4 linked regions of the Mytilus edulis genome follow. Each later gene encodes a partner of the first gene's protein in a complex. Links are inferred from orthologs where the notes say so. Each region holds a gene or a part of one and is shown in the gene's direction. Other genes may lie near its edges.

What was found.
Region 2: eukaryotic translation initiation factor 3 subunit M-like (region 1) and eukaryotic translation initiation factor 3 subunit B-like share a complex: the UniProt entries of both Caenorhabditis elegans proteins name them as parts of the eukaryotic translation initiation factor 3 (eIF-3) complex. The link is inferred for Mytilus edulis from reciprocal best matches to the Caenorhabditis elegans genes cif-1 and eif-3.B.
Region 3: eukaryotic translation initiation factor 3 subunit M-like (region 1) and eukaryotic translation initiation factor 3 subunit K-like share a complex: the UniProt entries of both Caenorhabditis elegans proteins name them as parts of the eukaryotic translation initiation factor 3 (eIF-3) complex. The link is inferred for Mytilus edulis from reciprocal best matches to the Caenorhabditis elegans genes cif-1 and eif-3.K.
Region 4: eukaryotic translation initiation factor 3 subunit M-like (region 1) and COP9 signalosome complex subunit 6-like share a complex: the UniProt entries of both Caenorhabditis elegans proteins name them as parts of the CSN complex. The link is inferred for Mytilus edulis from reciprocal best matches to the Caenorhabditis elegans genes cif-1 and csn-6.

What each region holds. Positions count from the first base shown.
Region 1 is NC_092350.1:9,816,239-9,824,560, reverse strand, and holds the start of eukaryotic translation initiation factor 3 subunit M-like, read left to right. Parts: upstream 1-5,110; 5' UTR 5,111-5,180; coding exon 5,181-5,222; intron 5,223-8,322. UniProt on the Caenorhabditis elegans protein: Component of the eukaryotic translation initiation factor 3 (eIF-3) complex, which is involved in protein synthesis of a specialized repertoire of mRNAs and, together with other initiation factors, stimulates binding of mRNA and methionyl-tRNAi to the 40S ribosome.
Region 2 is NC_092352.1:57,917,095-57,925,412, forward strand, and holds the start of eukaryotic translation initiation factor 3 subunit B-like, read left to right. Parts: upstream 1-5,276; 5' UTR 5,277-5,348; coding exon 5,349-5,487; intron 5,488-8,246; coding exon 8,247-8,318. UniProt on the Caenorhabditis elegans protein: RNA-binding component of the eukaryotic translation initiation factor 3 (eIF-3) complex, which is involved in protein synthesis of a specialized repertoire of mRNAs and, together with other initiation factors, stimulates binding of mRNA and methionyl-tRNAi to the 40S ribosome.
Region 3 is NC_092346.1:7,988,549-7,995,772, reverse strand, and holds the start of eukaryotic translation initiation factor 3 subunit K-like, read left to right. Parts: upstream 1-3,934; 5' UTR 3,935-4,042; coding exon 4,043-4,095; intron 4,096-6,809; coding exon 6,810-6,908; intron 6,909-7,224. UniProt on the Caenorhabditis elegans protein: Component of the eukaryotic translation initiation factor 3 (eIF-3) complex, which is involved in protein synthesis of a specialized repertoire of mRNAs and, together with other initiation factors, stimulates binding of mRNA and methionyl-tRNAi to the 40S ribosome.
Region 4 is NC_092346.1:85,901,553-85,909,770, forward strand, and holds the start of COP9 signalosome complex subunit 6-like, read left to right. Parts: upstream 1-4,904; 5' UTR 4,905-4,972; coding exon 4,973-5,144; intron 5,145-8,042; coding exon 8,043-8,174; intron 8,175-8,218. UniProt on the Caenorhabditis elegans protein: Component of the COP9 signalosome complex (CSN), a complex involved in various cellular and developmental processes.

The sequences.
Region 1 (8,322 bases):
GTTACACTATTGTTTCAGATGAGAGAGAAGTGCCTGATGTTCGGTAGTTGTCGTTTGTTGATTTGGCTCATAAGTGTTTTTTTTATATAAAAGAGGGACGAAAGATACCAAAGGGACAGTCAAACTCATAAATCTAAAACAAACTGACAACGCCATGGCTAAAAATGAAAAAGACAAACAGAAAAACAATAGTACACATGACACAACATAGAAAACTAAAGAATAAACAACACGAACCCCACCAAAAACTAGGGGTGATCTCAGGTGCTCCGGAAGGGTAACCAGATCCTGCTCCACATGCGGCACTTATATAAATTAGACCGTTGGTTTTCTCGTTTGAATGGTTATACACTAGTAATATGTTGGGGTCCTTTATAGCTTACTGTTCGGTATGATCCAAGGCTCTGTGTTGAAGACCATACTTAATTTGACCTATATACAAATGGTTTACTTTTATAAATTGTGACATGGATGGAGAGTTGTCTCATTGGCAGTCATACCACATCTTCCTTTATCTATAAAGTTTGAATTTCGATCACATGAAATAAAATCACCTGTAAAAAAAGTAAAATAAAAAAAATACTGATCTCCGAGGAAAATTCAAAAAAGGAAAGTTGGCCATATTCTAATGGCAAAACAAAAGCTCAAACACAACAAACGAAAAGATAACAACTGTCATATTCCTGACTTGTGTAGAAGCACTTTTTGACGTTAACCTTTAGTAATATATTTTGTTAGGTGAACTTGATACATCATGTAAATACATTTTCAATCTTACTTTGATTGGAAATCGACTAATTCAACCTGTCCCCTTTAAAAAAAAACTCTTTGGATATACGGGATTTAGTACTACTCCCTCCCTATGCAAATTTTATGATATGTTACAATTTTCACAAAATGGAAGAAATTGAACAATAAAATCAAAAAAAATATTTACAAAGCCACACAAAACCATTTCAAACAGTTTTATTTAGTCACTGAATAGCACATCCTCATTGTCACAATACAAATAATCAATTCATCATCTGATTTTAGGAAATGAGCTAAATAAGCAGCCAATAATGTAGTGGTGGTGAGATGCATATACTACACGGAAGTTCTATAAAACGAAATTATCAATTCTTCTACATTTAGGTCCTTACGGTCCACAGATAGTCAAATTGTTAACAATCATATCACTGCGACTACCTAGCTTAAAGTCTCTTCCGAACATTTGAAAGTCCCTGCTATGTACTTGATACCTAAATTGCACAAACAACCATTTAAATTCCGTTTCGTCTCAGCATCTAGTAAGTGTTCAATATACTAATTTATCAGTGCTTCTAACTACCCCCTTTGCTACTATCTAAGAACTTGTTTTTAACTTTATGATAAAGCTATGCAAATAATGGTATTAATTATTCTTGGAGTGTTAAAAATTCTTTAGGGGTTTAAGATAAAATACGTGTTTTGATGGTCCTTTTAATTCTGTTGACAGTTATGATTTTATTACCCTCTACAATACACTTCCACACAATCTTATCAAGAAAAAAATTACATATTTAATTAAATATTTTTTGGAAAAATCTTATTGCAAATTAATTTGATGTAACTTGTTTAAAGGGACACTAGCTACGAGAAATATAAAAATCTAAATAAGCTAAATAACATTGATGATGAATTGATAATGAATTATTCACTTGCAAGTGAAGAATTCGACTTCATTAAATCCGTATTCATGTGAACCTCAATTTAACCTCGTAACTACAGGTGGACAACGCATTCATTGTACGTGTACTGGTTCTTCAAAGGAAAAGAATGTCAACAATGAAAGTGAAACAAAGGTTAATCAATTGATGACTGATTCGATCCACAAAAATTCTTTCTTTTACAGGTAAAAACGATGAGAAACATATATTTCTAATCTTTATTTAAATAAAATTAAACGGACCTCTAAAAATCCGATTGCACGAGTTGGCTCAATATATTTATATCTATATTAATGTTTACATCGCTTATATGGTCATCTGAGGTCAATTCGATAGCTAACTAAAATTGGCCACAATCTTCATTGGAGTATATAGTTTAAAAAATGTGTCATGTGACCCGGCCAACCAACCAGATGGCCGCCATGGCTAGAACATAGGGATAAAATGCAGTTTTTTGCTTATATCTCTGAAACCGTAAAGCATTTAAAGCAAATCTGACAAGGGTAAAAATGTTTCTCAGGTTATGATCAATCTGTCCTGAAATTTTCACACATCGGACAATCTGTTTTTGGGTTGCTGTCCCTGAATTAGTAGTTTTAAGGAAATTTTGCATTTTTTGGTTATTATCTCGAATATCATTATTGATAGAGATAAACTGTAAACAGCAATAATGTTCAGCAAATTAAGACCTACAAAGAAGTCATATGACCAAAATGGACAATTGACCCCTTCAGGAGTTATTGTCCATTAAAGTTAAATTTAACAATTTTCCGAACTTAATTTTGTAATCATGGCTTTTACAAAAGTCTTCTCCTGAAACTACTGAGACAAATTTAACCAAACTTGGTCACAATCAGCATTATGGTATTTAGTTTTAAAAATGTGTCCGATGATCCTGCCTGCCAACCAACATAACAGACATGGCTAAAAATAGGACATAGGGAGAAATTAATGCATCAATTGTAAATAAAAATTTCAGGTGCGCGACAGGGCTTTTTGGAGCCTCTAGTCTAGTTATAAGGAGTAAACTGTTGGTTTTCCCGTACTTTGACCTAAAATCGTTTACTTTACAAAGGTGACTTGGGTGGAGAGTTGTCTCACAGGCATGCATACCACATCTACTCGTATATATTAAAGTTACTCTGACAATGAAACAAATTCTTGAATACAAAAAAATAAGAGATCATTTGAGCTTGGAACACTTTACAATGTTAAACATTGATGCATGCCTTCATTTTTCAGCATTTCTTTTATTTGTTAATTTAAGTGATGTAAGGACTTTCATAAAATTTGTGAAATATTTGTGTTTGAGATATTAGGTCACACATCAGTTCAAATAAAGGTAGGAATTTTGTATGTTTCCTGATTGTGAGTATGAATGTAAATCTTTTAACGAGGAACCATCCTATTTTATTACAGTTTAAAATCAATAAATACATTTGAGTTGCAACTAATTTTATTTCACTGCCAATATTTTGGTCCGACTTTTAAAATCAAATACTTTTTGCATTATGTCAGCGAAATGTTCTTATAAAATATTCTGAACATCTAAACTTAAATCAAAATCCTATTTTTTTATGCCCCACTAAGGGTCATTATGTTTTTCTGTCTGTGCGTCTGTTTCCTTATCCGTTCGTCCGTCCGTACGTCCGTTTGTTCAGCTTCGTGTTAAAGTTTTTGGCCAGTCAAGGTAGTTTATGATGAAGTTGAAGTCAAATCAACTTGAAACTTAATGCACATGTTTCCTATGATATGATCTTTCAATTTTTTCAATATTCCAAATAAGAGTTTTTACCCCAATTTCACGCCGGTCCACTGAACATAGAAATTGAGAATCGCGAATGGGACATTCCTGTACTATGGACCGCACATTCTAGTATTTTGTTTTATCGTAATATTTGAAATTACTCATCTGATTCTTCCCAACCTCATGTTCGGTAAACAGAGTTTTAGAGAGCTAAAGCTTTGTGTTATTTTCCTTTGCTTTGATATTGTTTTTTTTTTTTGTAATTTGAAGTTATTTCAAAATATTCTCATGATAAGTACAAATTTTACTGGACAAGTGAACTTCAACTCATTTACTTGTTTCACAATTTAGTTATAGTCGTTTTATAGTCAGTTTCCACAATTGTGATAAATCCAGCCTTTCTATCTGATAAATGTGCTTCTGGTCACTGAGTTGTAAATCATTTGTAGAAACTCTTTGTTTTGAACTGTCAAAAGATGACAGCTTCAAACGTTTCAGGAATTATTATACATCAGTCAGTGGCGGATCCAGGGGGGGGGGGGGGGTTCCGGCGGTGCGCACCCCCCCCCCTTTATTTTTGCCGATCAATGCATTTGTATCGGGACATATGTTTTGCACCCCCCTTTGCCCTGGGTGCCCTGGGTTAGCACCCCCCTTTCGAAAATTCCTGCATCCGCCCCTGTCAGTGACAATTACAGAATTTTGGAAACACTCACATTCTTTTAATGAGATTAAAAATTCTTTTTTAATCACTAAATTACTAACTGAAATACCAAATACAACAAGTAATATATGGGATATATGTACAAGGAATTTTAAAGATGTTTATGTACACGCTTGTTGCAATTGTCCAAGTATTAATGCACAGCGAGAAGTCTGGTGGGACATTTTAAGTGACAATTTTCCAGTGCAGCTTTACTGTGAATTAAACATGTATGACGACGAAATCCTGTTTCAAATGTTACTCGGTCGAAAACCACTGACAATTTTTTCAAGCATAGATGAATCGGTTCAATTTCTCAAGCTGTGTCATGCACATGTTATTCAGTGTGTAGCAGAATATAGCCGATCTCTTAGACAGTGTTATTAGATGTGTCAATACACGATGTGTCAATACATGATGTGTCACTGCAGTTATACTTTAATTGCTTTTATAGATTATTTATATATCATCTTTTGTGTATTTACCTTATACTTTGCTCTTATACTAATAATTTGTGTGTAATTATGTTGTAACGTTTGCTTATATTCATTAATTGTATGTTCATTGAATCTCATTTATGAGGAATTAAAGATATGAATGAATGAATATCCTACAATTTCATTGGGCGAGAACACTTATATTCTAAATCACTCAACAATATTAGGCAATTCCTTCTGTCTGCCTTGTTACACGTGTCAATCGAATCAACAAATCAATCAATCAATCAATCAATCAATCAATCAATCAATCAATCAATCAATCAATCAATCAATCAATCAATCAATCAAACAATCAATCTATACATCAATCAATCAAACAATCAATCAATCAATGTATAAAAAAGATAAAGATAAACAGATAAATGAATAAATAGATATCAGTAATAATAAGATGTATTCCAAAACTAACTTGTGTTAAGATTGCAAAATGACCGGTTACTCATTTATTTGGCTAAATTTCCCTGATCACCTATTTTTATGTTGCCACTGATAAACAAGAAATTAACACGTTAGTGTGATTTGACAACAAGCCATCAGAAAAAATGAGCATACCGGTATTCATAGACTTACCCATCAATGAGCAGGTAAAACGCCAGATCTATTACACACGAATAACAGTCAAGAATTTGGAATTATGATTTTCTTAAGTTAATCCCAGTCTTTCTCTTAATCTCATACATGGTCACATTCTTACACCAGCCGGGTAAAACCACAACATGCGTTACTTTTATCTTCTTCTTTCGTTACAAAAAACCATCAATGTACTGATGTTTATTCTCCGGCACATGCCTGGTTAATGTTTCCAAAATAAATTGATATGGAGAATTTTTTTATATCAAAACTTAGAGGGGTCCTGATCTCCAAATCCCGGGCTTTGAAACATGAAATTCTGAGGTCCCGAATTTAGATAAATTTAAATCCAGAAATACGAGAAAAGAATTTCCAGATCACAAAAGGATAAATCCTGAAATCCTGAGCTTAAAAACAGCCTATGCCAGGGTCCCGATAAAGCTCCTATCCCCCCTCATAGATAATCAAAATATTTCTTGTTTAGTGTTGTTTTTGGTTATATTTTTGTATTTTCCATTTTATATACATGTATAAATAAGTAAAGTTAGTAATGATCTTAATTAAAAGTCAGGTTTTCATATATATCCTACTGTAGTCTATGATCGATGATCTTTTTGGTTCTTTCGGAATTTGTTATTGTACTCGTCACAGGGGCGGATCCAGCCATTTTAAAAAGGGGGGGGTTCCTAACCCAGTACAAAAGGGGGGTGGGGGTTCCAATTACATGTCCCCATTCAAATGCATTGATCGTCCAAAAAAAAGGGGGGGTTCCAACCCCCGGAACCCCCCCTCTGGATCTGTGCCTGCATCACATGGAAAAACTCAGCATTGACGTCACTACGTACGCTAATACCAGCGTTCAAAATAGGAGCAGAATACCTATTTCTACTCTTCTCAATAAATTTTTTTTTTCTAAAGATATGATTTCAGTGTTATTCTTAAGTACAGGGCATTCCCTTGAAATTGAAGTAGTAGGTTAATTTAAAATTATAGGGAGCTGTCACATGCGTTACAGCAGGGGGTGTAGGGGGTTGCTCAAACCCACTGGTAGCGCAAAAAATCCTGCATTCTGGCAATCTCCTGGCACATAATTCATGTAATTTCATCTTTCAAATATTCATTTTTATTTTTGGCAAGTGCAAGGCCAAAAGAAAATATATATCTGTTGAAGGTTACATCATCAAAATAAATAGGGTAGGTCGGTCGGTATTTCCATTGTCTTGTCCATTTGATTTTTTGTGCCATGATTTTGAGTTGTGCAGTCCGTCTTTCCGTGGTCCGAGTTGTCCATGGGCCGAGTTCACCCGTATTTTTAATGATTGGATTATTTCCCTTGGTTATTGGTTGGAAAAAAATTGCAGCAAAGTTTTTATTTCATTACACGAGTTGCGAGTTTCCTTCAAACAGCTGTCATATTCACGATTGTGAACATTGGGATGTATCAGGCAATTGATTAAATTTATTTGCAATCCTAACTTGGTGTAACGGTGGGGGTGGGTGACGACACCTCCCGGGCATGTAGTGGCCAGTACTTCGCCCCTATTCGACCATCGGGATACCTGATATCAGATTATTGCTGAACAACAGACAATAAATCAAATGAAACTATATTTTATTCACAAATATACAATAATTGCATGAATTTAAACAAAGTCGGATAAACAACAGTCAGAAAACTTTCTTAAATGGAGTTCAAAAATAGATTAGTATTTTAAATGTAAAATAAAGTGTTCGCAGAGTTAGTCTTAAAAGTAAGTAAATTAGCTTCGCGTTATGTTATTTAAGGTAGTAAAACTTGCACCAAAATAGGGTGACTAACTCTGGCGAACTGCACCTAAGTGGTGGCTTACTCTTAACTCGAGTGAACTGATACATTCCGGCGAGTACTTGGAGGCCTGTGCAAGGCCGACTCCGACTGAATATCAAATGATATTCTCAACTTGTCATTAAACAGGCTAACTTTATCAAAGAAGGTACTGAAGAAAAGTTGAATAAATGAATATATGCTTCAAATATTACAGAAACATCAAAAGTTAAATAATAAAACACAGTCCCAGATCCATGCACAAGAAAGTGAAAATTTCATATCTTCTCGCAATTATAAAATGGTTAAGTAGTGCTATAAATCTGTCATTTCATACTGATAAGGCGACAGATAATATTACTTAACTAACGGATGTTTTCTACACAAAATTGTAAAACTTTTAAATTTTTAGGAAAATGCACAGGCACATTTAGGGTAGACCCTTCCCCCTTTTTTCTAAATTTGAAAAAAAAGTAGAATTTGGAAATATTCTTTGATGTTTCCTGCCTTTCAAGATTTATTTGAAAACTAATTATTTTTATATATGGTTTTTAAATTATTTTAATCTTGCAATTTATTGAAAAAATTAAATTTTGTAAAATATCAAAATCACATATATATAATGAAAAAAAAACTTTTCTTTTTATGGTATTGTGTATTTCATTAGTATCCCTTCTTGCAACAATTGTCACCTATAGATTGAGAGAGAAACCATGTGGTGTCTGTGAACTAACATAATATAATTGATGTGACAGTTTAATTTGAAAATATGGTGTTTTCTAAGTAGTGTAGGAGATAAGTTCACTTTTTATTCAACATCATTTTGATGCAAATTCTTGGGCTCAGTTCATAGACTGAACAGTAAAATTAACAATCCTTACTTTTACATTATATGTATCTTCATTGATATTTAAATCAAATTAAACTTAAAATAAACATTTAGATACTAAATAATTGATCTGTCCATATTAAGGGGAATTAACTTAGGCATATCAAGGCACATCTATTACACTTGGCTTTTGACACAAGTTCTATTAATTTTTCACTCTATGTAAAATGGCTTAGGGTTGGAGCTCAAATTAGGGTCGAGCGGGGATAACCGTTAATAGACATATATTTTTTTTGGCCTAATGGTCAGTTCTTTATGTTCTTTACCTTATGCTCAAAATTCATTTTCTTTTGTTAACAGGAGTTTTATTTATATAATGATCTGATTTATTAGAAATCTTGGTAGATTTATTTTGCATAACCTCGTACATTTGTAAACAAATGACCCCCTTGTTATCCTTGAAAAGAAATGATTAATTCCA
Region 2 (8,318 bases), on another chromosome or scaffold:
TCATCAAAATGCTGCACTTTTTGAACGATCACACATTTGCTGAGTTTAGTGGATGGATATTTCAACATACATTCGGTATTCCAATGAGTACTAATAGTGCATCCCTACTGTTTGACATGTTTGTTGTACCTATATGAAGCAGAAATCATAAGAAACGTTTCACAAACAAAAAGATAAAGCATCTTGCATAGTTCTTTAATTTCATTTTCATATATATTAACGATGTCCTGTTACTCAATAACCCGCCTTTAAATTAGTGCTTGTATCTTATATAACCCAGTGATTGTGTGATAAATCAAACTATAAAAACTATAAGATATTATTCATATCTTGAACTTTTTCTCGATATTGACCCAGACTGATTAATATTTCGCACGACATTTTGCTAAGCTTGGCCGCACTTAAGCGTAATATATTTACAAAACAGCCATGTAATCCTTCAAAAATGAGGTGAAGAATTTAAAAGGAACATTGAAACTCATAAGATGATTATAAACTGACTACACAATGACTAAAAAGCAAAAAAGCAAGGAGACAAACAACAGCATACAAAACAGATCAAAGAATAGTAAGCACTGAGCAACACGTACCACATGACAAAACAGGAGGTGAACTACAGGTGGTCTAGATGGTAAAGAAGATTCTGCTTCACATGTAACACCCATCGTGTTGCTCATGCAAGTACACATAATATACTATTAAAAAACCCACCCAAAGTAACTATTTTAAAAGTCTCGTGCAAATAACCAGTTTAATAATCTCAGATGGCATTTGCTACTCTGTTCTGGAAAGATTGTTTTTTTTATGAGGAAAGTGTACGGGATAACTCAACATCGTCTGATCGAGTATCAAATTCCAAATCTTGTTCGAAATCATTTTCTGTCTCAATAGTTTCATTTAGTATTTTAAAATGATCATACAATGCTTTTAGAGATATATCGTCATTGTTATCTTTTTTTTTTACTATCATTTAGATTATTCAGGATTTTCCATAGAGCTTTTGTATCCTTTTTAGAAATGTTACGCAACTCATCAGCAGCCTTCTGTTGAAAGTTTGCAAAAGCTTTATTTAATGTTATTTTATGTTCTTTACTAGCTTGTCTCATTTTACTTCTGTTTTCAGCATTTTTCAAAAAACTATATCTCTTTCGAGCTTTATGAAATTTTTTTCTACTCATCGAGCATTTTCTATTAAACCAAGGTTTTGAATTTTCATGTTTGTAAAAATGTTTATGTTTATTTATTTTCCCAAACGTTTCTGCCGCCGCATCTTTAAAATTTTTGCTGATATCTAAAACTATATTGTTTATATCATTTTGAGTTGCATCATTATTTACGGACAATTTGTCCAGTTTATTCATAACAGTGGTCAAAATACCTTCGGGATCATTGTGAATTCGATCAACGTATTCAGATTTCTGTTCACTTTTCCACCTGACAAAAGTTTGATCATTTCTATTGTTGATAACAATTGAATCTGATTTACTAAATGTGACCTGAAGTCTAAAATTTATAAAAGAATGACAATCAGAATATAACGGTATAAAGTCAGCAATTTCAAAATAAAAAATCATAGGGAAGAGCATTGCTGAAATAATTAAATAATCAACAACACTTGAATCGTTACATGTTTTCTCCCCAATATCTTTATCTGATCCAACTCTTGAATTCGCAATATATAAATTATTTTTTCTGCACAACTCTAACAGTCTATGACCATACTTATTAGGTCTACATGTACACTGAGACACTCTTTGTAAGGTGATTTTGTTTCGAGTCAGATTCTCATAATCATACAAATAATATAATATATCAGTATCACAATCTAAATCAAACATACTAACAACTGACTCATCAGGTATAATATAATCGGGTAAAGACCCAGTTTTTGAGTTAAAATCGCCAACTAGGGCAACATAACAATTTTCAGTGTTTGTTAGGATATTCAATTCATTTTCCAATTCTTCAAAAGCTTCTATAGTAGAATACTTAGAATTTTCAGGTGGTACATAAACACAACCAAAAATTACATCTGAATTAAGTGACAAAATTGATTTAGAAATTTGAAACCATAAAACAAATTGACTCTCAGTATTATAGAAATTCAATTCTTTTTCTAAACTCTTTCTATAAATAACAACTATTCCACCTGATGGTTTTTAAAAAAAAAAATCTATTTTTTGTGACATAAATATAATCGTCTGGTAAGTTTAAATTATCTAAATCAGTTAACATCGTTTCAACAAAAATACAGATATCATGTTCAAGCAAAATGTCAATGAAATCAGGAGACAATAGCCTTTTCTTAAGTCCACAAACATTTAAGAAACAAATATTTAAACTATCATTGTTAATTGTATATTTCTTATTCACAGTTTCATAACTTTTCAAATTCTTTTGAGGTTGTCCTCTTGCACCATTCCCCTATCTGCCAGAATTTGGTGAATCATCTGTGTGCGGTGGGCGAGGAGACGGTCCCTGTCGCTGTCTTTTGCTAGGATGGGTATCACTAGAATAAGACCCTTTTGGGCTCGTGTCATGGTTTGTTGATGAAGAGCCAGTATGCTCCGTTCTAGTGTCCTCTAATACCGTGTCAGGAATGTAGAGCTGATTGTCTATGTATAGCCGATCATGCACAAGAGAGGCTTGTCTATTTTGCTGTTTGGCTTGTTTTAACACCGGATACAGTTCCTTCCGCTTTTGTTCAATTTCATGAGGAAATTGTTCCCGTATTCCATATGGTCTACATTTTAGTCTGGTAGCATTTGCTTAAACATATTCCAGATCACGGTGATATAGGAATCTTGCAACTATTGGTGCTCTTCTGTTGTCCCCCTTTGTTCTGAATCGATGGACATTACCGAATTCGATCTTGTAGTCGATCCTCAGCTCATCGTATAGAAAAGATCGCAAAAGCTCTTCCGTATCTTCACCCGGAACTCTATGCAATCCCGTAAAGATCAGATTGTTTTTCATTGACCTGCATTGCAAGTCAAGAATAGCTGCCTTTAAGGACTCAATTTCCTTTGAAATGATGACTGGTGGAACACCCGGTCGGACGATGGTGTTGTCTTCGAGTTTCTTAATTCTCGTATCCTGATTGTTTATATTACGTCTGTTGGTTTTTACTTGTCCAGATACTTGATCGAAAAGATTGCTAACACCTTGGCAGCTAGTCTCGCAGTCTGACAGCTTTTTGTTGAAATGGCTTGCCTGGTTTTCTAATGTTCTAACCCTAGCTGACACCGTTAAGAAATCTTGTTTCAAATCATCAAGGTGCTTCTCCATACTTGTTTCCATTCGTCTCATTGTAGAGTCGATACCCGTAACTATTTCCAAAATCATGTTAAGCAATGTGACGGAGTTCAGATTTACATCATTGGAAGCGTCAACTATTCTTCGGCTTTCTTTAATCAACCTCGACTTATCGCTCATCGACATTCTTTTGATATGGAAAGAATTTAATAAAATAGTTCTTCTGATTAGTAGATAAGTATAAAAGAGGGACGAAAGATACCAAAGGGACAGTCAAACTCATAAATCTAAAACAAACTGACAACGCCATGGCTAAAAATGAAAAAGACAAACAAACAACAGCACACACGACACAACATAGAAAACTAAAGAATAAACAACACGAACCCCACCAAAAAACTAGGGGTGATCTCAGGTGCTCCGGAAGGGTAAGCAGATCCTGCTCCACATGCGGCACCCGTCGTGTTGCTTATGTGATAACAAATCCGGTAAATAGTCTAATTCGGTAGGTCACATTCAGGAAAGGGAAGGGGATTGTAGTTACGACGTAAGGAACATATCCGATATCATTTGTGATACGGTTATTCCATAACGGTCAACCAACTTAAATTAATACCTCTTGCTTGGGGCAAAGTCATTAAACAGATCACACCTGGTCAGAGAGTATTAAATTCTAAATAACATTCATCCAAAATTGCAACATCCTGTACAACTTAAATCGCACATGGTCTTTTGAATTCACAAGATAAGTAATACACGAGTTTATTAAAGAAAAATGGGCTTTCTTTTTACCTGTACTCTTTAATAGTCCGTATAAGATTTAATATAAATTATACGCTATATTTTTTTTATCGCAAAAGGGGTTATACTTTTTTCAGCAATTTTGGAAATGTTGAATTCTAAATCTCTCTGATATAGGAGTATCCTCTTCAATGAACTAGTATGTGCTGTTCATTTTTGACCCCTTGGCATTTTGAAATATCTTCCTATTTTAATGGCAAGGTTATGAGCACCGACTCTTAGTTAACACACCGACGATCGATCTAATCTATTTCATAAAGCATCAACATAAGCTATAAACGTACAGTCATTTTGTAAACATTATGGAAATTAATTTTTAATACTAGTATGCTGAAATATTTGCCTGGCAATCACGGGTCTAAATAATTTTTTTTTATTTAATATAGGATTTCTCTATATTTTTCTATAAATGAACTTTATCTGATACTCAAATAGAAAAATGAAATAAAAAAATGGGGTCACCGTTCATTTACGCTCACAATCTCGGAAGAAGCATACATTTTGTTAATGTCCTTTTTTTCTGTTGAACTAATAGGAGAAATAGCGGTAATATCGAAATAAAAAAAGAACTAAATAACAGAAATCGCTTAAATTTTACAATTATTTAGTTTATGTACAGCTTATTCGAAAACAACAATAAAAAATATAGGTCACCGATGTGTTAAGAAAGATACTTATATTTTAATGCAAAAAAATTGGCATTTTTGCACCAAAGGGAGATAATTTGGAGCTTTTTCAATGATATCTACATTTTAAAAGTCACCTGGGGCCAACACAAATTGATTTTTTGGAATGATTTTTGTACCATATGATAAAGGAACAACTACTTAAGGTAATAAACAAAATTTGTAATGAAAAATTAATGTTTTAATTTTTTTCTGAAAATCTTATACCCGCGAGCCTCCTTAAATGTAACTTTTCCAGTGTCTTTAAACGTCGAGATCATAAAAGTTAAATTGATTCAGATTGGTCACTTCATAGTTAGTGAAAGTATGAAAATAGTTTAATTGTGAAACTGATATTTTTTTCTCGTCTAAAAGTCCCTAAATAGGTAAAAATTGAAGATAAATGGGAAAAGTTATTATTGTGCTCCTCAATCTTTATTTTTCTGTGTTCGTCTTATCAGAGACATATAATACAAATGTAGAATATGTCTCTGGTCTTATTAACGTTTTTTTTCTTTGTTTTGTCATTTTTTGCGGAAATTGATATTATTGTTTGGTCATCGGTTTAACATTTATATTTCTACGCCTGCGCAATAAACTACCGGCGAATCCACGAGGGTTTTCAAGATGGCGGCTGATAGAAGCGATTCAGAATCGCGGAGACAAAAATCTGATTCACAGAATCAGGACGGAGAATTTGAGGATTTCGGAGAAGAACCAGACTTTAGTGACCCTGATGAATATGATGAAGATGTAACTGACGAAGGTTAACCTTCGTAACATGTTTTTTTCTACCCCATATGTGGGCTTCCGATGGTTTTCGTACTTCTGGAGTGGTTCAAAACCACTTTTATAAGATGTTTAGTCTGATTTCACCCCTTAAGTCTTGTTTTAATCCTGATCTATCTATACCAGTCCATATAATTCTTAGAGAATCCAACGATTTGCATGAAATTATGCGCAATCTGTATCTGTATCTGTATTGGGAAATCCCTCCTTCAAAGGAGCACTTCACAATGAATATATATGTCTATACACACTTAGTTTGAAAATATAAAAAATATAAATATAAACAAAAGAGATGAAATATGGGAAAGAAAGAATTTGCGTTGTAACTTGTATGATTGATGTATCCATGAGAGACTGAAAGCAACTTATATTTGTTCACAAAAATCTAAATAAATGAGATAAGAGATCAACCTTCCGTCTTCAACCAGTATCTATACCATATGTCAACTCTTTTGTCAAACCTGTTTGGCAATGGTATCAGGTCCGTTCGCGCCCAATACACGTTCGCACCCAAGGTCCGTTCGCACTCTACACGTTCGCGCCCAATTTTTATTAACATTCCAGTTGAATAATTGGAAATCATGATTGTTGTTTTAAATTGCTTTGGTGTAAATATTGAATGTATATAGCTCGGTATGAGTAAAACATTGAAGATTTTAAATGAAAAACACAAAAGATAATTGTTTTTGACAGCTTGGTAACTTTGATCTGAAACAATTAAACAATAAAATACATGTATTTTACACTATTATAACCAAAACATGATGAAATTTATTCAACACACAAAAAAAAACGTAGTCAGAATCTCACTTAGTTGTTTTGAAACAAGTCAATGAAACAAAGTTATAGCAATACACTAACCAAAACATGATTAAGAGTTATTCAACACAAAATAAAACGATGACAGAATCCCACTTTATTTATAAAAAGGATTATATTTTCTTTTAACAATACACTATCCAACTCATGATTAAGATTTATTCAACACATAAAAAAAAATGCTGTCTCACTTTATTTTAAGACAATGACAACAAGAATACTCTTGCCAAAACTTGCATGATTACTAAATCAAACAATTAAAATTGGGCGCGAACATGTAGGGTGGGAACGGACTTTGGATGCGAACATGTAGGGTGCGAAAGTAAAAGGGGGCGAACGAACCCGGATTCTTTGGCAATGGTTTGACATTGACAACCATCCTAACAAGGGATTGTCCCTCATATCCTTGATATATAATATTTGCCACTTGACATTAAGGTTCATCGTAAGGAATTGAAAAATATGGCCGTGTTTACACCTCCAAAATTACTATGAGTACAGACAAACTGGTACATCCAGGAAAGTTTTAAGGCATGGCAGGAACTAGATATATATAAAAGTTATATGAAGTCTACGTTTCAGAAAATTAAAAACTTACCTGGATTTTGATGTTCATTTTTTTCCAGTCTGCAGAAGATAGCAAAATAAACAAACACCCGAGTTTCATTTGATACGGTCCACTCAGTTACACAGTTTAAACCTGTAAATTCACCTATTGTTTACAGGTGTCTATTGTCCATTTAAATCAATACTACTCACAACATTGATTATATGAGGGGAGCTTCTCAATCGTTTTCACTACTTAGTTAATTTTTGCACCTTCTGCAGGAACGAAAAAAATGGATAGCAAAATCTAGAAAAGTTTATAATTTTCTGAAACATAAAATGCATTTAAAATTTATATATCTAGTTCCTGCCATCCCTTAAAACTGTTGCAGGTGTATAGGTTAGTCTATACTCAGAGTAAAATTTGGGGTGTAAATACGGCCATTTTAGCCAAAAGGTTATGATGAACCTTAAACACTAATTCATCAACAAGTTCAAAAATGTTCTTTCATTCTGTTGATAACAATTTTGTTAAACTACTTTTTACAATATCAGTGGCACATCCAGGGGTAGGATTGCGGGGTTGAAAACCCTCTTATTTTGGACGGTCAATGCATTTGAATGGGGACATAAAAACGAAACCCCCTTTTTATCCTGAGTTGGGACCACTCCTTTTGAAAATGGCTGGATCCGCCCTTGGATATAAAGTTTCAGTCAAACCTTGTCAAATTGTTTATTACTCTAGAGACAGTCTGAGATTTGCTGGGGAAAGTAATCAAGATATTTAAGGGAGTGTGTTCTCAGTTTCAAAATAATTAGCATTTCAAAACACTAGTATATATTGATAGGGGATTAATAAAGAAATTAAAAGAGCAAAAAAATATATAGGTCAATGTGCTTGTTTTCGAGATATTAGCCATTGAAATTTTGGTGGGAAAATATTTTCTCTTGACGTTTCATAGCTGTATCATTGACAAGTTTAAGTTCTCAAAAACTATTAAAAAATAATTAGAATATTATAACACGTTTTACAGATGGCTAAAAATCATACATGTAAAAGATTTATAAAAAGAAAAATGGGAGCTAACGGGCAAATTTTTTAAGGCATTCAAATGGATTAAACCAGAGGATTCTGAAAATCTTACAAAAATCCCAAAACATGACAAGCGTACTTATGTGCTTCCTTAAATTAAGATATGCTTAAAAGCATGCTTCTTTGGGCTTACATGTATATCATTTGCGATTTTGTACATGAATAGTAAAAATCACTTATTTGAGATTTCACATACCTTTGCATAAACTATTTGATTTATTAACAATGCATTTTCTTCTGTAAAATGTACATCACAGAAACTTATTGTTTTTTTTCAGAATTACTTGGAGATTTATTGAAATCGAAGCCAAAGGAGTCTGATGGGATTGATAACATTATTGTTGTAGACA
Region 3 (7,224 bases), on another chromosome or scaffold:
ATATCACATTGGGCAAATATTAAAACTAGGAAAACGAGATATAACACAAATGTAGTAAACATTTAATAACAAAAATACATTACAAATTGCCGAATCAACACGAAAGTATGTTTGTCACAAATTTTTTTTTTAACCTAAAATCAAATAATGCAGTTGTGCCATACATTCATTCATCTTTGGGGAGCATATTTTTTTCAAGTACATTTTTTGATTCTTTTAAAATTCTTTGAACATAATTTTTTTGAAGATGCAAGTAAAATAATTAATTGTTTCTTGTTTCTTGTTGTTGGTGTTGTTTAAAAAAGAAAATCAGTTACCAGAAATGTCATTAAAACTATCCCACTGAAGAGACATGTATTGCAAGCCAGTAAACTAGTGGGTGACAGACGTTACAGTGAGTCATATGGGCTGACAAAACTTTTACTTTTTATTATTGGACTGGATTCAGTGGAGAAAATGATATTTGATAACAGATTGTAAATGTACAAAATGAAATGGTCAGTTTTTGTTGGAGGCCGGATTATGAATTCCATAACTCTATACTGGTGAAGGCTTGCTTTTACTCTCAGAAATTATTAAAAAGAACCAAAGGATATGGGGTATCTATCCATATCACAAAATCACTACATGCACACAAAAAATAACCACACAAAAAGCAAAGGTTTAATACATATGCATAATCTGTATGATGATGAGAAAAGAGCTTACATAGGCGCTTACCTACATGTATGTAACCGGAGGGGTTTTTACGTTGCATATTTTCTGTGTCAACTTTTACATATTATACCCCAGACCGTGTAAAGAGTAGGTATTGGAATCACGAGTCTCTGATCCTTCATATGTGGCATTGTAGAACTTAACACTAGCAAGCTTTCATAGTTTATTATAATAAATTACAATTTAGCAAATATCAACAATATTATAAAGATAAAAGTAAATAGTTAAAACTCACATAAAAGTGACAAAATATGGTGAGGTCTGTGCAAGACCAGCAAGACTGAAGAATGAAATCTCACGAAAAAACAATGTTTTCTTAACAACTAGTATTCAAACGAAACGTTCTCATTTACAGAGACATATGATAATTGTATTATATGTCGCTGTCATTGCGTAAACCCCTGAGGGTTTACGCAGTATATATTGGACGAGTGATGTAGTATTTCGGAACACCGGATATTATTCGGAACACTTCTGCTCTTTCCATGACCATTTTTCAAATACATGCGCAATAGCTATAACCACCTTTCAAATACATGCGCAATAGCTTACTAATCTGTTGAATATGCATTAGCATCTTAAGTTGCTATAGAGATATTTTACGTATGCTCTGAAACTAAATATGATTATGCATTAGCATCTTAAGTTGCTATAGAGATATTTTACGTATGATCTGAAATTAAATATGATATAATATTTTCTTGCACACAATCAAGCTGCTTTTATTAACCTGCATGCGTAGTAATTAGAGTCAAACGATGTAACCAGCTGTGTTTATATATAAGATAAGGTTTCATGTAAACAATGCGCTTTATATTCTGAACGAGAATAATTAAAATTAAAATCTTTAGAAAGAGTTCTAGTAGCATTTTATTTTAGTTTTATGTTTAGTGAAGATGTACATGTTGTAAAAAGCAAGCTATTTACTTTTTTATACTGAAATTAAAGTCTTACTTGCATATGATTAAATTACAGTTATTTTTTTTTTTATTATTAAATATAGCAACTTTAAAAAAAAAAAATATTATTAAAAATGTAATTAAATAGATATTGAATATGAAAAAACTAATATAAAACGGAAACCTACAACTAAATTATATTTAAAAAAAAATACACTTGACTATGCGAATGTTTTGTCGTTTTTCGTTGGTTAATATAATATATGCAAACATTAATTTGTTTCTAACTTCAATCTGTTCAAGCGATTTATTTTTTCTACGATTATAAAAAGTATGTTTTTCATCAACAATTATTGAAAATTCAAATAGGATCAGAAAAGAATTATTAAACGATGTTTTGCATCTGTAGCAGTTAGACAATAACAACAAACACCTTAAAACTTTAGTTAGTTACAATTGCACCCTTAAAGTGCCGCTTTAATTACGATCAAAATCTTAAAATTAACCATGCATGTAATTTCGGTAGACTAAATAGGGTCAGTGATAAGATATCAATTGTCTATTTTTAGTTACCGAGTGATGACAGATGCAGATAGAGATAAGAACAAATACTTTCTATTTATAGTTACCTTAGCCGCAAATATTTTCTATTTATAGTTAGCCTACCTTATTTATCCAGGGAACTAATTATCACTTCTGAAGTATTTAATTTTAAAATGTTCCTCTTTATAAAAACAAAATAGTTATTTTTTTTAAAACAATCAGAAAATGAATTTTCGGCTTAATAGATTATGTATAAATTTGATATTTAGGTTTTTTAAGCATGTAAAATAATTTTATGAAATTTTTAAGTTTATTTTATTAATGAAATTTTTTATTTTTATTTTTATCAAAACAACAAAGCTTTGTGTGATCATTATGATAATGTACTGATATAAACGTGTTCTCTATAAATTAATTAAAAGCTCCTGGTCAACAGTTCTCATAAATGTGTAAACTAAACTTTCTCTGATGTCTTATATAAGCGCCACGGTGTATGGGTTGTACGTGTTTGTTTGTGGTGTTAAATTAGTCTTGCAAAACAAATCGGTTGTTGGTTAATTGCGTAAACCTAGACAGCAATAAGACACGAAAAGTGAAAAAGTCGGATTACAATCCTCAATTATCTGGAATGTCCTATCATTGTCTGAACGCAGTCGTTTAAATTCGTAACAGATAGGCTACGGGTCGGGAATGGTCTTGATAGTTCGGCGAAGCACCCCGACATTTAGGTGCGTCCCGTAACATTCGGGGAACTCAGCCGACTTTGTCTAGCCGGATGACAAGCGTGACTATGTCGTGGCAGATTCTGCTGTATCGGATAAAAATTCTAACATTGTTCTGTGTTTTCTGGACGGTGTCCTGTGGAACGGGAATGATCTGGAGAAATTTTTCATTGGTGTTTTTCTGCCGATTGAGTCCAGATTACATCCAGATCTAGTCGATTTCAAACCGTCTTTGCCGAAATCGTTCCGGAACAGTCCTGTTATTAATACGAAATTCGCCAATGATACCCACCTCAGAGTCCCGACAATTACAGAATACAATACGACTGAGACCAGACAAAGACGTTTGCAATGAGATAGAGAGGATCGTGATAGAATTCCGTTCCGACAGTACCTGATCATCCCGAGTATGTCGACAGTTTTCGAACGGATAACTTCTGTCAGCATCGGTTCACTGTCTGGTCACTGTCTGATCTCTGTCGGATTACATTCGGTAGAATCGGGATGCAGTTGTGACCAATTCGGTCGAATTTTACTTTGCGAAAGATACAAATCGGATTAGAAGCGGATTGAGAACGGGATTATCGTGAAAAAATTCTCTTGGAAACGGTTGAATATCGACGCTTCCTGAACAATATCTGATTGTTGTCGTGATTAATTAATTAAAGTTTGAATTTCCTTCCACGATTCACAGGATCTTGATCAGACTTTTGACAAATTTTAATTGGGAATGGTCCTGTCAAGGACGGCAGTAAAAATCGTGAATGTGTGATCACAGCTTTAGCGAAAATATATCAACCCACATTGAATTGTAATTTCATTAAGTAAACAATCAATGTCAGTTTTTAATTCTTATACCACAAATTATATAAAACAATACATCTTAAGTAAACAATTATCTAATATTTAATACCAAACAAGCATTTGGGTTTACGATTGCATTTCTTTTTTTAAAGAAAGCAACTTGTTTATAAATTGTTTAAAAACTCTACAGCAAATTTAGTAGGTTGTGGTTATGCTTTAAAACTAGCTCGTTGGTTTTCAGATCTACTCGAAGACTTTTTTACGGAAAAAATCACGATCACAAAGGCGCTTGAAGTACCGGTACACATGTGAATTTCTTAATTTTCATTTTGACAGCTGTAATTCACAAACTCCAGGATGGCTGACGCGATGAGGGCCCAAGTAGGTGCTTTGCTAAAGGGAATTGACAGGTAAGACACGATAATACGAAAGTGGTAAAGTTTTTCAAAACCGGCGATTCTGATTTTGTCTCGTAAAGAAAATGACACTGCAGCCCTTTTTAGATGTTAGACCAGAAACAAACCTGATACTAAACCCCTAACGGGAAGGATTGTGCCTGATATTCATATGATGAAATCATAATCTTTCAATCAGTTTAATTGAAGTCTGGAGCTGGCATGTCAGTTAACTGCTAGTAGTCTGTTGTTATTTATGTATTATTGTCATTTTGTTTATTTTCTTTAGTTACATCTTCTGACATCAGATTCGGACTTCTCTTGAATTGAATTTTAAATGTGTGTATTGTTATGCATTTACTTTTCTACATTGGCTAGAGGTATAGGGGAGGGTTGAGATCTCATAAACATGTTTAACCCTGCCGCATTTTTGCGCCTGTCCCAAGTCAGGAGCCTCTGGTCTTTGTTGGTATCGGGACTGTTCGCCCTAATAACATGTTCGCTCTAGGTCCGTTCGCTCTGAGTTCGTTCGCCCATAGAGTCCGTTCGCCCTACTATAAAAATATCAATATTCAGGGCATTGAAGTTGAATAAACTTATTCAGATATTTCTATGGTATATATATCATGTATATTCTTGAAATTTATGAAAACATTGAAATATTTAAAAGTTTATGGCTTGTTTATTAGGATCATTAATTGTTCAATGACAAAATAATTCTGATCACTGATTATTGTGATACTTGTCTTTTGATGGAATAATAATAAAAACAAACGTTTTATTTAGATAAAATATTCAGCTTGAAATCAATAAAAACAATGATGTACAAACTATAAATTATGAAACCGACTTACAAGTTCATTTATTTATACCTTAAGACTAGTAATACTGCATACATTCGTGATTGACTGAATACAATTATTTTGTTAACAAATATCAATAAAAATAAATAAATTCCAGTATTCTACTCTGCAAAGGGAAAATGATAAATTGATTGCGGCAATATAAATATTCTGTCAATTTTTCAACAAACTTTAACATATTTTGTTCAAATACTTAAAACAATGCGACTAGACAACAATTTGAAAAAAATAAATATCAGGGCGAATGGACCCTAGGCGAACAGGTACAAAATGTATCAGGACGAACAGGTACTAGGGCGAACATAAATTAGGGCAAACGGACCCGGATTCGGCTTTGTTAGTCTTGTATTTTTTTAATTTTAGTTTTTTGTGTACAGTTCAGAAATTAGTATGGCGTTCATTATCACTGAACTAGTATATATTTGTTTAGGGGCCAGCTGAAGGACGCCTCCAGGTGCGGGAATGTTTCGCTACATTGAAGACCTGTTAGTGACCTTCTGCTGTTGTTTTTTCTATGGTCAGGTTGTTGTCTCTTTGACACATTTCCCATTTCCATTCTCAATTTTACTGATTAAGATATTTTATCAAAATTTTCTGTTCCTCATATTACCAAACATCCTCTTGAAAGCATATACTTCCATGATCTGTACAGCTAATCAATCTTTTAATGAATTAAATGTTATCAGAGTTCTTGAAACTTAATATTTTTCTGTCTTTTTTTCTTTTACATACAAAATTTGTGTAGAGAATCAGAGTCCCCTATTTACGGTAGAAAATCAGTAAAAAATAAATAATCAGGAAAATTTCCCGAAATTTTCATTCTTCTTTTAGCTGGAACACTGTTTACATGTTTTAAGAACTCAAAATCGTTAACTTTTTTTCAGACATTTTTAATTTGCACATTTGCACAGAAATGTACTTCCTTTCAGTTGTGTCATGAGACTTTGAGTAGTCTAGTAAAATATAGAAACTCCAGGAACACAATAGTCAATACTAATTTCATTTTTTAATATTTCTTTGTCTAATATGAATAAATGTTACCTGATGATCGCATTTACTTGTTTACCTTGAATATGATGTCTTAACTTATATAACGTCATAACATAAATCCCAAACAACAGAACCAAAATCGGAAACGTTACAGTATTTCGGGTTTTTTTTTGGAAGTTTAAATATGTTTGAATTTTTAAAAAAACAATTCATACAGACTTTGTCCCCTTTCACAGGTAATGCCTGCCTCATATTAGTATTGACAGCAGTGCCATATTGCCAAACTTACTGGTCTTACTAATAATTTTGAGTTCCTACATTTGTAATGAGATACATTATGTACATGTATGACGATGGTGACCTGTAGTTGTTAATTTCTGTGTCATTTGGTCTCTTGTGCATGTTGTGAGAAGTTGTCTAATTGGCAATCATATCACATCTTCTTTTTTACATGTATATTGAAAATGGAAAATAATATACATGTAAAATTCAGAAAAAGTGTTTTTTTAAATCTGAAATTGGAATCAAACCATGTTATGTACATTTAGTTGATTTATATAACTGCCTTGTAGCATTCTCCTTGTGAGTTGGAGAGATCATTGATTAATCCCTGAGCTGGTTGGACTAAAGACTTTGTCCAAATATTACATTAAAATTAATTAAGTTCAGTATATTTATGTCACTCAAGTTTCAACTCAATTTTGGAAATGGCAAGACTGAATCTGACAACCTCATCCCCTGTGCAATTGTCAATTATAGTTACTTTTGTAAGCACTTTATTAAGATGATTGTATCCCACTTTTGATGGAAACCATTTTTCTCATTTGGAGATCTAGATGATCCATAACAATTTATTGACATTTTGTTTTATTACAGATACAACCCTGAAAATCTAGTAACTTTGGAAAAATATATAAACATGCAAGCTCAAGAAAACACATATGACTTGGAAGCTAATCTGGCTGTTTTAAAATTGTAAGTATATACATGTTTCTAACTTTAATTTCTATATACATAACTTTTTACTAATCAGGACATGGATGGAGAGTTGTCTCATTGGTACTTATACCACATCTTCTTGTTTCTAAATGACACATTCGACATAAGCTGTAGTGTATATACATGTGAATAGTGTAAATTAGAATACTGCAGATTTATTTATATTAGTGGATACCAATTTTCTGGGATTGATGAACAATTGCATTTTCGTTCATATTTGATTTCATGATTTTGAAGTGATGATATAATGATTTAAAAATATGAAGCAGCTAAAACAGTCCATTGGCCATGG
Region 4 (8,218 bases), on another chromosome or scaffold:
GGACGTCATAAAGTACAAGAAATAGCTGTTCATGCAAGAACTAGATTTAAACAGCCCACAACCATAAGGAAAATGGAAAATGTTTTGTCATGTGTAGGATTGCAGTTATTTTGTAATTGTATAAATACAACAAACATTGCATGAACATATGAACATAGTGATGTGGAGAATTTATGAAATAGAAATAAAACTTTCTTTGACGATTTTTTTTTAGTGATATCGTATCGCCGTTCAGTAACGTGACGGTACCGAAATTGCACCTATTTTGACAGTTTTTTCATCTACGTTTTTTATGATAAAGACAAAAATGTCCATTCTGTGTTTATTTTGTAGCCGTATCCTTCTTTATTATAAAGGTACACCAATTTGATTTTTATTCCATATGGAATAATAGAAAAATTGGTCTAAACTGACCTCCAAACCGTCAATTATTCTGAAATGAGGAGCACCCAAATTGCATCCATGCTTAAATTCACATCGTCAAAAGTCTAATAACAGAGCTTTTGTTTAATTTCTTCAAATATTTTGAACAATTGGATATTAGTCCATGCTTACTCTTCATTATTTTTTAAATGGATACTTGTAACATATTGTATTTGCTCATTTTAAAAAGATGACGTTTTGATGACGTCGCATGGCGACGTTTCAGTACATTTTGCTTTTTCAGTAAATACTTCATCTGTTGATAAATACTGTGAAAGTTTTGTGCATATCTAAATATTTTTACCTATGTTGAAAGATGTGCTTAGTATCAAATCATAAAAATACAAATTGTTTAGTCTCTGTGAAATTTTGTAAGATTTTCGCTGCTAGTTTTTCTAAATAGGTGCAATTTGGGTACTCGGTGCAATAGGGTACCGTTACCTTTTAAAAGCCTGAATGTATCAAGGTAATGTTTCGACAAAACACAGTATATGTACAGTGAATGGATTGTGAGAACAAAATATCAGATGGAATGTCCAGGAAGCAATTTATTTTCTTTTTAGGCGATGTTTTTGATAGGGGAAAGAAGCTAAGTTTTAAATGTTGTCCTAAATGTAATCTGATGTATTTCCTCCTTATTAATAGGAGCACGTAGAAGACGTGACATAAACCCATGAGCAAACAGAAAAGCGAGAAATAGGCCTAACAGGAGAAAATAAAGATATTTATATGTTGTTACTCGGCCCAATGACAACTCGGACCGCCTTAAAAATAGAACAGATTCTTGTGAACCAGACATAACTTATGGCACAGAAACCTGGCTCTCAAATACTATATATCTTATCAATAAGGCAAATAGTCTCTTAGGTGCTATTTTACCGGCTCCGGCAAAATAGCGATTTGTATAGAGTTTTGCTATTTTGCCGGTCTTATTTCAATTTTTTTAATCAAGACCGTACTATAAAATATTTTTTTAAGGAAACTATTTCGGTACAAACATGACAAATGATATATATGTGGCTAGCCGATTTCAGTAACCTTTTCAGTGTTCGCCTTGCCTTTCTAGTCATTCAATTTTGGCGAACTGCACTCATTTAATCCATGTTGATACGTTTATTTCTGTTGAACATTGAAAAAAAGGAAAACAAATAATTTGCTATCAAACAAACTTGATTTTTGAGTGATAATATGAAAAGCTACAGCCCGGGCGATTTTTTGAGTACTTTGAAACGTGAAACGAGGACTAGAAATCATGAAAACCAGAAAAACTAAAATAATAATCTTTAGTCTTTGGTGCAATAAAATATAAGATGTCTAAGATTAATAAACAAAAATATTGTACACACAATGCATAGAATTCTAGCTATTGACAGCATTTATTCTATGAATGTTGAATACTGAAATGTATATGTCTGCAAATTTTGCAAAAGTGATAAAAAGAAACATGTGTTTTATTCAGTTCATGCAGTGGCAGCACCTTTCTGATGCCAGACTTAAGAAGAAGTCACCAAAAAACAAGCCACTGGTTCTGTAACGCTCGTAAAGCAGTTAGATGTTGTTAGGTGTCACTTTTTGATTGAAAACTAATAGGATATTTTTTTATTAAAAGTTTGAATCAGAATGTCGATTTTTTTATATGGGTTCTCATGCTTTGCTTATGTGTATTGTATATTTTTTTAAAGAAATATTTTTTTAGACTTCCTATTACAGAAAACAAGTACTAGTATAAATCTTAATATTTTAGCTTTTTTGTTAAGACTTCCGATTAAAGAAAAAAAAGTTCTAGACTAGTATCATTTTTTATCTTTACTATGATGTGGTTTTTTTTACTTCCTAAGATGCACTAGTATCAATTTTAATAAGTTAATTTTTTTAAATATTTTAAGAAGACATGTTTTCAGAAACTTCTTATTAAAGTAAAAAATATCAAACTTAATGTGGACGTTTTGTATAAATGTTAAAAGGCATAGTTGTATATTTCTTATTAATGCATGTTTCAGTATATTTTTTCTATTATTAATTTCTATACTTCTATTTTAATCTTATAATATATAATTAAGACCGACAAAATAGCAAAACTCTATAGTCTACAAATGGAGCCGGTAAAATAGCACATAAGAGACTATTTTGCCGGAGCCGGTAAAATAGTCACTGCCATCTAATTAATACGCACCATCAAAATACACTGTATACCACAAAAATAGAAAAGATGAATATGGAGGAGTACTACTAGCAGAATCAAATAAATACACATCATCACAAGTAAATGAATTTGACACAGATTGTGAAATAATTTGGGCAAAAAAAGCATCCCCAAACAGTAAAACACTATACTTATAGGTGCGTACTATAGACCACCTTCAGACAAAGGGGAATCATTAGAAGACCGGGCAAGGGTTGTATATAACCAGGAACATATATATTAATATATAACTGTTCCCAGATATAACAGAAACGTACAATAAAAGATCTGTCATTAAAGATGATTCTCCGATTGACCATGTTGACAATATACACTTATTGTTCACATTTTCGACTACAATTAAGCATGAAATATTTGCTGCTGCACACTATGGGAGTCAAAATATAACGTGCATTAATGGGAAATTCAAACTTATAAGCCGAAAATATACTGAAAAAACGAAAAAAACGACCAAAACACATTTAGGAAAAAACACAACAGTAAACTGGCATTAATCCTATCTTTGCAGAAGGTCATATAAAATATATGTAAAAAATATGTTCCCAATGGCACGAGAATGCAACACAAGCATAAACACATACTTCGAGCTCAAAAGCACTGATTTGAATTATTCTCTGGTCGTAGGCAAACATTAATATGATGAAAGGAGATGTGAGATAAACTGTAAATTATAGGCTGATCAAACAGAATATTTTAAAGTTTTAAAGGTTCTGTCTTTTTTTTTTTAAACATCGTTAAAAAGATTTGTGTCTAAGGTAATCGACACAAGAACCCTGTAATACTAGTGCGAGAGTATAGCATGTAACCACTCCTTCTCATAAACGTTTACGTATATGCATGCAGTTTCAAATATCAAGAACAAGCGGTCGATGTCTATAGATCATTGTTAAGTCCGTTTACTAACGGAATCAGACATTTCACTTGTTCATGATCATTCTTGGAAGCCTTCATATATTCCCCGTCCGACGATGGGGACTCTTTCTGATTGTGTTGACTATGAAAGCTTGTATGGTGATTCTGTCGTTTATCTGTACAAGTGGTTGCATATCCTCTCCTTTCCCAACATGCAAACAAACTAACGAAACGCTACTAGTCTGTTTTCTCTGGGGCTCATCCTCAATGGAGCTTAAACGTCCGGAAAATTACATGTATACTAGTAAAGATTGTTTCAAGAACAACGATGTAGGGACGAACAATTCTAAATTCGTCAATATCAGTTATATACATGACTAAGATATAAATGTTAATACAACTTAGTAGTCTGATGTTATTTATGTATTATTGTCATTTTGTTCATTTTCTGCGGTTACATCTTCTGACATCAGACTAATACTACTCTTGAACTGAATTTTAATGTGCGTATTTTTATGCGTTTACATTTCTGCATTGTCTAGAGGTATGGGGGAGGGTTGAGATCTCAGTCATGAACATGTTTAACCCCGCCGCAATTTTGCGCCTGTCCCAAGTCAGAAGCCTCTGGCCTTTGTTAGTCCTGTATTATTTTTAACTTTAGTTTCTTGTGTACAATTTGGAGTTTAGTATGGCGTTCATTGTCACTGAACTAGTATATATATATTTGTTTAGCCTATATAGGGGCCAGCTGAAGGAATATTGGGGTATGTTGGGGTATGAATGTAGGACAGAAAGTCACAGGACAAAAAGTCACAGACAAAAAGTCACGGACAAAAAAATCACAGGACAAAAAGTCACAATCAGGCAGTTTTTAGAATATTTTTTTTTAAACAAAAAAAAAAAATAATTTTTAATAAAATATTCGTTTTTTTCTTGAACTGTGATAAACAAAGCAATTTTGTAATTAAAATGTATTTAATAAATATCAATACTGATCACATGATTGTTATGAAAACAAAATGTCAAAGTGACTGTGTACTTAAACGGCTTCATGTCGCCAAGAAATATCTCCTTTGCATGATTAAAATTTAATAAATTTTCATTTACAAAGCTTATGAACAGTGTCCTACACTTAGAAATGAATAGATGTAATAAAAAGAAATGTTTCAAGATCTTTCTCTTATATATATCTTAACAATTGATAAAATATTAATTGTGACTTTTTGTCCTATCAAATTTGTGACTTTATGTCCTGTGACTTTTTGTCCTATGACTTTCTGTCCGTTTACCTTGGGGATTGGCGTAAAAAGTCACGCCGCACAATTGACTCAGAGCTGGAATAAACGGTCCGAGTTGACCTTACAAAGACGGTCCGAGTTTCCTACGGGCCGAGTAAAGCATATTCAAATAAGCATTTAAATGATCAAGATCATCAGACGTCAAAAGTTACGTCCCTTTAAAGTATTTTTGTTTTCTTTCTTTTTTCTGTTTTTTATGACCATGGCTTCTCAAATGGAGATCGATACACCTTCTACTAGCATGACTAGTGTGATGGCTAGCACAACTGCATCAGGAAGTGTTTCAGTGTCGTTTCACCCACTTGTCATAATGAATATTTCTGAACATTGGACAAGAGTACGAGCCCAAGAAGGAAAACCAACACAGGGTAACATTACCATAGATTATAAAAGTTGTTGTACACATGGCAGAAGCAAAATCACATTAAAACCCATGTTTGCAATAGAAAAACAATTAACTGAAGGCATGTTAACTCTACTTTACTTTAACAGGTTGGGAACAAACCCCCTGTATGGTGATTATACCTCTATAGAGGGATAATCCTTCTTTAGAGGGATAAAATTATCCCTCTATAGAAGGGTATTTTTGTTTGCACTGGATTTAAAGCAAATTAGGGCAGAATGGCATTTTCTAGCTATATTGGCTACAATCTCTAGCATTATATGCATCAACATATGCACTTTACTAAAAATTGGGATAACCAGTTTTCTGCTAAAGTGACAAAACTTGCAATCTATTGTTAACCTATCTGAACACTTGATCAACAACAAAAGGAATAGTTGACCTTTAAATTTCATGTTAAATCTAACAATAGAAATTCTGTTCAGTGAGGCAGAAGTGAGTAGAATTTACCTGATCATCACAGCTTTCAATCATGGTGAACAATAGATTTTATATTTAGTCAGATAAGCATGAAACTGGGCATTTGCATATTAAATTAAGTACATCAATTGGTGCATCAACTGTTCCAGGTTACTGCCATAATAAGTAGAGAATGCCATTCTGCCCTATATTGATTTAAATCCAGTCTGAACAAAAATATCCCTCTATAGAGGCATATAGAGGATAATTTTACCCCTCTATAGAAGGATTATCCCTCTATACAGGTATAATTACCATATAGAAGGTTTGTTCCCTACCTGTTTAAGGAACATTATTGAAATTTCGTTGCATATCCTACTCAGCCAGGCTACTGTGAGTACTGACTACTGTGTACAAATGTATGTAGTCTAAACATTTATCGGTCATCTTGTTAGTTCAATCGGTATTTGTGTTTGAACTTAACACACAGGGAAACTACACATTGACGTCACTAAGCTACTTCCAGTGTAGAAATTAGTGCAGAATACTTTTTTTCTACTCTTTTGAATTACTTCACAAAATCCCACTTCCTGCCTCCATTGCTTTGTGTACATTCCATTCAGCGTCATCAATCTTGTGGCAGGCAATACTGGTCAAGCAAATTGTTTTTTGGGATACAATCGCTTTTAAGCAATCTGTAAACTTATACCATTGACTTCGGGCCATGCCCTCACGTCAACCATTTTCTTTTAAACAGCAAGGAACTAGATTGTCTTGCTTTGAATGGTATAAAAAACAAAAGGATTGAATTTAAACAACTGTCCTATAATGTTCTTCTAATAATCTTCAATCATGTTTCGATATTTCCCTTGACTTGTATGGGTGTTTTTAACAACACAGAAAATCAGAATTAAGCAGTATTTATATTTAGTGTTTTTATAAATTTAGAAACACGTCAGAGGGAATTCCCCAGTTTTGGTAATATGCAAGAGTTCTCTGAATTCCGATAAATCTATGTCTGTCATATAAGAACTGAAGTGGAGTTTTCTTATATATATACATTTTTGTTGTACATGTACATGTATGTCACCATTATGAAACTGATATTTGATATTGTACTTCCATAAAGAACGGAGGTTGTTTTTAATATACGTCCTTGCTACAAAGAACAAGTCTAGGGTTTGTTAAGGTAATTATGTGCATGTGTATAGTTTTCTTGACTTATAGGGGTATCAGATTGAATGGTTGCTCTGGATTCCCCACTCCATTGATTAATTTGAAACTCACAAGATCCTTTCTATCCGTCTATGTCTGTTGAGGGTTATTGTTGTTGCATAATTTTAAATCATACTAGAACACACCCGTGATATCGCGGGTCCGTGACTGATATATAACTATGCGTATGCCTTATTTTAGTATTGGTATTGTCATCTGATAAAGTCATGCCGATTATAACATGTATAACGTGCACAGTTTTCTCTGCTTTCAAAATCTTTCTGTTTGAACCCGTCGACCTGGAACCTATCAATTATTGGTAATATTAATAATTTGGAAAACAAAAGGGCCTGGAATGGAGTATTTTTTACTCAACAGTATACAGCAAAATTCTAAATACACTGTTTGGTGGTGCGCCTGTCAGATGCGGAACGTACAGATAAGGTAATAGGTAACAGGGGAATATACTATTGGTATCGGTGTCGGACTCGATCCGGAACTTCTTAATTATTGGCAATATTAATTACGTGGAAAACAAACGGGCCTAGAGTGGTGTAATTTTTAATCAACACCATTGTACTATATTAGTTATATATAAAGTTGAATTCTTTGATTCATCGTTTTAACGTGATGACGGCTGACAAATTGGACCTCGTAATTTTAGTATTATAGATGCATCATTTGAATTAAAATAAATGTAGTCCTTAAAGTATAGGTGTAACTAGAAAACCCCTTCAGCCAAAATGGAGTCTTCCATATTATTGCTTCGAGTTGTCTCCCTTCTGTAAGTAACTTTCGTCAAACGACGAGTTGAGTAAAATTAACTCATTCTGTTGATAGACGTCGTACTATATTAAAACTGATCGCTATTAAAACAGAGGAATGTGTACGAAAAGGAGTCATGCCCACTGACCCAAAGGAAATTAAATATTTAAAGAGTTAGGAATGGGGTTCCACCTAGAATTCATGTAGGAAAATAGGTAATACATGTAAGGTATTTGTGCAAGGCCTTCAAAAATTGCTCCTTTGGGGCTTATAAATGAGCAGTGATATGAAGATAACAGACAAATGGGATTTTCATTGTCCATGAAATTACACTTAAATGATAAGTAAAGACATCTGCAAAGGGCACACAATTTAAAATTCTATTAAGCAAATGTTACTGATTGGTTTATTGTTGCTTGCCATCCTGGCAGTTATTTTTCTAATTTATGCTAAGATAAATTTTTGATGTATTACTGTTTTTAAGTTCTTGGAGCAGTTATTGGTAAACAGAAAGGAAGAATAATAGAAGTGATGAACTCATTTGAGTTGCTATTTGACAGAATAGAAGATGAGATAGTTATAAATATGGAATATTACAACACTAAGGAAGAGCAATGTATGTATTTAAGACATGTAAGAGAAAGATGGTTATATTGTGGC